Schizosaccharomyces pombe: one gene and its partner. The protein of the gene in region 1 interacts with the protein of each later gene in a pairwise test. Each region holds a gene or a part of one and is shown in the gene's direction. Other genes may lie near its edges. The genes, in order: rfp1 and hsp16.

Evidence for each region.
Region 2: the proteins of rfp1 (region 1) and hsp16 interact in a two-hybrid assay, tested with the Schizosaccharomyces pombe proteins (one study listed by BioGRID).

Annotation. Positions count from the first base shown.
Region 1 is NC_003424.3:2,464,869-2,469,603, reverse strand, and holds rfp1 (SUMO-targeted ubiquitin-protein ligase subunit Rfp1), read left to right. Parts: upstream 1-2,294; 5' UTR 2,295-2,344; coding exon 2,345-3,109; 3' UTR 3,110-3,390; coding exon of another isoform or gene 3,391-3,491; 3' UTR 3,492-3,534; coding exon of another isoform or gene 3,535-3,726; 3' UTR 3,727-3,768; coding exon of another isoform or gene 3,769-4,158; 3' UTR 4,159-4,198; downstream 4,199-4,735. Other genes in the region: nonsense-mediated decay protein Upf2, read left to right, coding at 1-810; transport protein Yos1, read left to right, coding at 1,285-1,312, 1,350-1,409, 1,460-1,561, 1,604-1,659; recombination protein Irc6, read right to left, coding at 3,391-3,491, 3,535-3,726, 3,769-4,158, 4,199-4,256; mRNA-decapping complex catalytic subunit Dcp2, read left to right, coding at 4,653-4,735.
Region 2 is NC_003423.3:2,659,392-2,662,835, reverse strand, and holds hsp16 (heat shock protein Hsp16), read left to right. Parts: upstream 1-1,843; 5' UTR 1,844-1,914; coding exon 1,915-2,346; 3' UTR 2,347-2,697; downstream 2,698-3,444. Other genes in the region: ric8 (synembryn ric8-like protein), read left to right, coding at 77-139, 186-348; SPOM_SPBC3E7.17 (uncharacterized protein), read right to left, coding at 858-1,040.

The DNA of each region.
Region 1 (4,735 bases):
ACCATGAAAGCGTCAACATTAACCAATATTAACAATGACATGTTTCGATTAAGACTTATTGTTGTAGTTTTGCAGACTTGTGGACCATCAATCATCCGTTCAAAAACGAAAAAGACGATGCTTACATATCTATTAGCTTATCAGTGTTATTTTCTCATTCAACCAGAAATGCCTTTAGATATGCTTTATGAATTTGAAGACGTGATAGGATATGTGCGACCTAGCATGAAAGTATACATGCATTATGAGGAAGCCAGGAATGCTCTAACGGAAAGGCTTCAGGCCATTTCTGATGATTGGGAAGAAGATGATACACGTCCAGTATTCCAGGGTGCTAATGATGGTGATATTAGCTCGAATGAAGAAAGTGTTTATCTGCCGGAAGATATATCAGATGAATCTGAAACAGACGAGGAATCATCGGGATTGGAAGAGTCTGATCTGTTGGATAGTGAAGACGAAGATATTGATAACGAAATGCAATTAAGTAGAGAGCTTGATGAAGAGTTTGAGCGCCTAACTAATGAAAGCTTACTGACTCGTATGCATGAGAAAAATCCGGGATTTGATGTTCCACTTCCTCTTAGAGCTTCTAGCCTAGGCTCTCCATATGTGACAAGAAATGAGGAATCAGCTAGCGAATCGTCGCACGTGATGTTTACTTTATTGACCAAAAGGGGAAATAAACAGCGTTCTCAATATTTAGAGATTCCCTCGCATTCTTCGTTGGTCAGGTCTACCAAGAATCAGCAAACTGAAGAAATAATGGAACGGAAACGTGTTAAAGAAATGGTTTTGAACTTCGAATAAGAGAAGCTCTTGTTTATCTTCGTCCTCTAAATACCGAAATTCTAAGCCATTGCTGGTAAATTACCTGCTTCGTTTACAACTAGAATAGACGAACCTTTTGTATAATATTTAGCTTTTTCATTACCAAATCAAAGCTTGCAATTTACTATGGTAGCCTTCTTTAATTATTTACATTCTAAAATATGCAAGCTAATTAGGTACAATACTTTATTAATACCAATTGAAAAACACTGAACAGTTCACTAATAATATGTTCGAAGCTAAGAAATTGATACATTATTATTTTCAGGAGATTTTTTATTATCTAACATGTAAATTTCTAATTTATAGAAGTCTTTTTGCTTTCAGTCAAAGGTGAAAACCATAACTTGCATAACGATACGTAATATGCTGCTGTATTCTGGCATTAAATCACTACCAAAACCTTTAAAAAAAAATATTGAACTTCAATTGTATTAAAAAGTATCGAGCATTATGTTTGGGTTTGGAAATATATTATATGGTAAGATGTTTTTGAACGCAGCTTTCTAATTTGTTAGTCACTTTATTGCTTTTAAACGCGGTTGCTATTCTTTCAGAGGATAGATTTTTAGGAAGAAGTATGAACTACAATTTTAACCAAATATGTTGTTCTAATTATTGAAAATAGTTGGATGGTCCCAAAGTGCTGCCCTGGGATTTGGTGATCGACAAGATACTATCAAAAGCCGAATTTTGCATTTAATTCGAGCTATAAGAACTGTCATGACTTGTAAGTATTAAAAACTTTATAATTTCTAATTTTAAATTTTAGTCCCTCTTATTGCCATAAACACGATTGTTATTGTTTATAACCTCGTCTTGGGATGATTAAAGGCTTTACGAATCTTTGTTAATGTCGCTCGCTTTTGATGCTGGTCTAAAAGCAGTGTTATCCATTATTTGATTTATCATATTTATACTCAAAAAAATTCAAGACAGGAACTTGATATTCAAGCGCTGATGTTCCAATTACTCATTTGTGAAAGTTTAACTTCAGAATCTAGCGGATTTAATAAATACAATCCTAATTCTTCAACAATTGTACTATCAAATATCGTCTAGTATTTTAAATTCATTTTCTGTGCTTTAATAAAAAATCCATATCGTCTACTAGAGGCATATTTTTTTGGTTCTTCTTGCTAAATTAAGCTCGTAAAATTCCTCTATTCGCCATATCTTCTTTGGCGTTTGATCTTCTCAGTAAATTATCACATAAGGTCATTTCCTTTTTATAAAGATAATGTGTAAACAAAGAAATGCGACTTCTAATTTACGTTTCTTTACTAGCCATTAGTTTATAAATAATAAAGCATACTGGACATTGCCTTAAAAATGCACCGAACTGTTGGTCTGCGGTATTTTGATATACAGCAATACATTAGAGCTTTATATTAAATAATACCGTTTCGTTAATATATGCAAGGCCAAAATATATACAAATAAATCGACTTAATTTTTTGCCCGTTGTCAATTACTTGACAGGAAACAATTGTGTATCTTTTTTCACACATCAATGCAATTTAATGGAAGCAATGGAATAGATGAAAGCAGTGTAATTGATTTGACGAGATCACCTTCTCCACCAGTCGAAACTTCTATTTCTTCAACAAATATCATTGATTTGGATGCTATTCCTGATGACAGCTTTCCATCATCTCCTGTTCTAAGTCCTCGAAGAAGGCGTATGAACCGGAGAAGGAATGAACGGTCTCGTAACTTTCCTTCAAATCATTTATCGTATTTGGAAGACATGATTTACTTAGGTCCTCAGGTGTCCACTCGTCGTTCTTCTTCACGTCGAGATTTGATGGGAATGATTGCCAGGACATTTCCTGAGTTTAGTTCTGTTAATTCCTTATCCCCTTCTCTTTTCCAGTTGATTGTGAACCGAATGAGATTTGACGCTATACATCCAGAATGGACTAACGGTTCAGACGACGAATATTTCTCTAACCATTTTGAAGAATCATATGATGATTTTACTTCTTCTTTAGAAAATATAAAACAGTCTTACAAGCCTCCAGGCCCTCCAAAATCTGGATTTACTAGAAGCTTTAACAATGATACATTGATGGTTTGTCCAAGATGTCAGGAACCATTAGGAACATCCAAAAGCAAAGAGAAATCTGCATTATGGGCAACAAAGTGTGGTCACGTCTATTGTGGCTCTTGTGCAAAAGTTTTGAAAACCAGTAAACGATCTCAGTCAAAATGTCTAGTGAATGACTGTGGCCGTTATTTAAATACGAAAAATGCCATGTGGGAATTATTTTATTGACGAACCTTGTACATTGAAAATGTAGTCCATTGTGTTGGATTTATAATGTCTATAATAATGAAATACGACCAAAATTATCACAATTTGTGACTGAGCTTTACTTACGAATTTTTTTTAAGTTGCTAATAGGTCCTCTTTCAATACAGCAGATTTAGATTTTAGTAAAAAATACTTTGATAAAACTTAATTGAACCTTTCTTGCAAACTCAAATAGTTATTATACATCAATTTGTGCTCCAGCGACAACATGTATTCTCCGGATACGAACAAAGGCCTTGTTTCTACAGCGATTCATAATCATTTTCCTCGAATTCATCGCCTAACAATTTTTCTAAAAGATTTAAAGCCTTGGCCTTTTTCTCATTTTTTTCCAGGTCAGCATCTAAATTTCGTTGTTAGTTTAGTCGACTCAAGGAGTTACCAACCTCTAATTTGGTTCATTTCTTTCATCAAATTATCCAGATCCGTCGATTGCATGTCTGGACTTCCTTTGAATCGTTCCGGGAGATAGAAATCTCCGGCATCATCCTTTTCTTCCGAGAAACTTTTATCAACTTGTGACAAGTTCCATTCGCAGCAATCGAGAATTTCTCGAACACGGTCCAGTCCTACTTTCTCTAAAGAGACTTGTTAATAAATAGAAGATTGGTTGACTTTACCATTGAATTCATTCACTCCTTCCTCGCTGATAGAAATATATTCTGGGGTAAACACATCAGGTGGTTCTAGTAATTTTTCATCTGACATGTGCAACCCAATTACCGGAATCTCTAGCTGTAGTTTATCTATAAAATTTTTAAAAAGAGACCACTCAGCTTCATCAAAACTTCGAAAAGTATATACAATGGCACCTAAGCTATCAATAACTTCCTTCGCTTCTTCAGAACTATAAGCATCCAAAGTTTCAGCTAAATTAGAATATTCTTCAATCCAAATACCAACCGAAGCTTCAAAATATTTATTTCTGATATTATACTTATGAATCAAGCCAGAATGATCATTGTTAAATGCCTCGTCATCTAACCCCTTCGGTAAAGAACCCGTCAAAGCTTTTCAATTAGTAATTGCAAATAGAACACTAATATTTACCCTTAATAAAATCTAGCTTTCCAGAATTAGAGCGACCTATAACCAAAATAACTCGCATATGATTTTATGTACTTAGCAAAAATTAATTCGCTTTTTTATATTTTCAATCAGTTCTGTAGAATATTAAACAAGTTTTTGGTGGATAAATAAATTCTCGAAAGACCTAAAGGTAAGGCAAATTGTGATTTTAACTACAGTCTAACAGTTTAATGAAACAAGGATTGAGCAATAGTATAGCGCAGTGTGATACATTCCTAAATCAATAATGGTTTAGTTTATCACTAACGAAGGTTGGTACGTAATTTTACGTGTCCCTAACTCTGTGTTATACGCACACGCATAAATGGCTTTAAATACCAAGACGCACAAAAATTAAAGTTGACGAATTTGTCGTGCTTTGGAGTGACTTAGAATTTTAAATGCAAACAATAGACTACTATATATTAAAAGAAATATGTCGTTCACAAATGCCACGTTTTCGCAAGTGCTGGATGATTTATCAGCTAGATTTATCTTGAATTTACCAGCAGAGGAGCA
Region 2 (3,444 bases), on another chromosome or scaffold:
AAGTTTGTTTGTTTATTTATTTTTTTTTAAAAAAATACATATATATGTCTCGAGTATATTTGGCTGACGTTGGTAGCTTGGAAAAAAATAGTACTATTCAAGTTACTAATCCTATCCAACAAGCTGTAAATAGCGGCTTGTATGAGAAATTGGATGATAATGATTCTGATTAAAAAAAACTAAAGTATAGACGTTGTCTTTTGTCTTATTTTTCAAATGAGTTCGGAGAGTTTCATATATCATTGTTATCATAGTTTTGTTGGACCTATACATATTTTACTGTTAATGTTTTCCACTTTTAAATTTCATGAAATTCTTCATTTTATCAAAATTAGCAAAGCAAGTTAGTACGTCGTGTATTTTACATTGTCTAGTGAGTTGGTAAACTTCATTTGTATACCGTAAATGTCTATATTTTAACCGTCGGATATTGCAATTCGCATTATGCGGTATGTAATATGTAATGAGTTATTAAACGACATTATTTTTAGTAAGATTTTGATCATGTATTATTCGGTAGGTAAAAGACTTAAAAGAAGACGGCAGAATGGAAAGATGGAAGTAATATCATGATATTCGGCAGTCATTAGGCATAATTTGCAGTTTCCCCATCTTTTCTCATAGTTGTTTATTAGTAATTAATAATAAACTTTGTCAACAATTCAGGAAAGGGTTTGTTTATTGAAAAAAGAGCGATAGCTTCCGTCGTAAATTTTTCATTTGCTTTTCGAATGTAGTGGTTGAATCATGTTATAAACCTCAATATTTATTTTCCTTGCTAGAGAGTTAGCTACTTTTTTCTAAACTAAAGATTAAAACGACAGCTGTACGAAATTGACTTTACGATAATATAGATTTCATTGATATGCGCATGAATAGGAAAACTCATGTTGGGTAAATAATGACGTAGGTTTTTTGTTGTGAAAACTCTCCGTCTCCGCAAATCGTAAGCGACGGGATGTACCCCACAATTTTAAGGATCTTCCAATTGAGTCACTTGTGAAATTTATTGCGTAAATCAAACACTCTACCGTGAGCATTACTGCAATGATGGAAAAAACATCTAATATGAGGTGCGACGATACAGTAGAACGTCCGATTCCTTCAAATATATTTATTATTTGAATATTTAAAAAGTTAACAATCGCAGAAATTTGCGTAACTTAACCCAACAATTGTGTAAAGTAAAGGAATTAACTATTCATATTGCTATGCTTTTAACGTAGATATTGCAGAAGAACAATTTTATGACGAACAAGAGGAAGTCGCATAAGTTTTATAGATTTATGAAATGTTTTCAAGTGCATGAGCAACAATTGCGTGAATGCACAAAATACGTCTTTGCCAATAAAGCGCTCAAATCATAAGATTAGAAAGAAAAATTCTTACGTTATGGTTTATTTACAAATCTAAATGCGTCCTAAAAATTTTATTTTGGTTAGTTGACTACAAAGTAAAAAAAAAAATAAGGTAAAGGAAACGATATACAGTCAATGAAATGAGTATTTTTCTAACTCTACTAGAATGATTATTTTCTAGATCTCTCTAGAAAGATAGCACAGCCTTGCGTACCGAAGTTTATATTTGAATCTGCCTCGGTTGTGGCGCATAAGTGGCAAATTTGGACTTTTCTAGAGCAAGCACTAACGAACATCTAAGTCCACCCAATACAGAGTTTGAGTGTTAGCAAAAGACGCCGTTCCGAAAGTACAAACTCCGGCAAATTCGTGATCTTTCACAACGTTTACGAGAAAATTCGAGTCATCGTACAATATATGACATCCATCCCATTCCGTGCTTCCCAGAAAGGTATAAATAAGGGTACTCCTTCCGCTAGTCCAGCATCGAACAAATACAGATTTGAATTGAATTCATATAATTTCAAGTTACTCGCAATTGTTTAAATTTTAAAAAATGTCTTTGCAACCTTTTTTCGGCTTTCCCCCTACTGTCAACGACTTGTTCTCTGACTTTGTTAGTTACTCCCCTCGTTTGAACAACCAAATTCCTGGGGAGTTGTCTCCTTCGATTGATGTGCATGAGGGTAAAGACACTGTTAGCGTTGATGTAGAACTCCCTGGTGTTAAGAAAGAGGACGTTCAAGTCCATTATGATAGCGGAAAACTTACTATTTCTGGCGAAGTCGTCAATGAGAGAAAGAATGAAAGCACCGAGGGTAACCAACGCTGGTCAGAGCGTCGCTTTGGCTCATTCTCTCGTACCATTACTATTCCAGCCAAGATTGATGCAGATCGCATTGAGGCCAACTTCAGTAATGGCCTATTGACTGTCACCTTGCCCAAGGTCGAGAAGTCCCAAACTAAGAAACAAATTGCTATTAAGTAAAATCGTCTCTTCCGATTTTAATATGATAGTTTCGAAATGGTTATGAGACCAATCTTGTTGGATTGTGAGCATATATTATTGTTTGATTTAACAATCAATCATAACATATGCAATTAATGATCCGCTTGCCATTGGATTGATGAATTTTGATAATGAATTGAACACGGTCTTCTAAACAGTAAAAGAGCATTTAAATTCCACATCAAGCAATTTATGGCCAGCTGTCAGACAGTGTTTTAATGATCTTGACTACCACTTGTTACGATTCTCCAATGATGAGCAAGTGATCTCTAGCAATTTTTCAAAATAAATAAATAAATAAATATTTTTTTATTCCTAATTAGAAAACAAGTTGTTTCAAAATGCTCTATCGTAATATGTGTAGATTTATTTTTATTTTTTTCAAAAAAAAAGAACAGTATTATGTAGCTCCTAATGAATTAACAGGAGTTACATTAGCATATCATAAAGTTGTGTATGCTCTTTGAGTCTTAAATCACCGGGGCAATGAAATCGTCTTCCTTTTGCGGAGATCTGATAATATGCTCTTAACAATTTTTGGTTTTATTAGTGAGCCATAAGGTTTGTTTAAGCGGAAGTTTTGTGATTTCATGTTAGGGACAAGGGCTTCATAGATGTGTTCCTTTCTATTTTTATTCTTTATATTACTAGTTCATTGGTTCATGGACACGCTAACCTAAAAGTAGTTAAATCTCCTTGGCCTTGAGCGAGTGTTTCCATACTACCACTAATCCTTGGGTGATCCAATGTTTCCTATAAAAAAAAGTACACATAAATATATAGCCTAGGGTACCTTTCTTTTTCAGTAATCAACATACAGTTTAAAGTTAAGAATGTTATGGTTTTCGTGTGTGATTAAACCAAATTCTTGTTTGCTATAATATCTAGCTCTACAGTAAAGCCGAAAGCTCTTGTATTGCTATGGCTTTGTAAAACTTAAATTCGGCGAATCTCGTTAATATACACTATTCTATCAACACCAAAACCTAAAGTATTTATTATCAAACAGCTGCGTTTAACGTACATGCTTTTCGATATAACAATCATGACAATTCATAGAACTTAATTAATAGAACC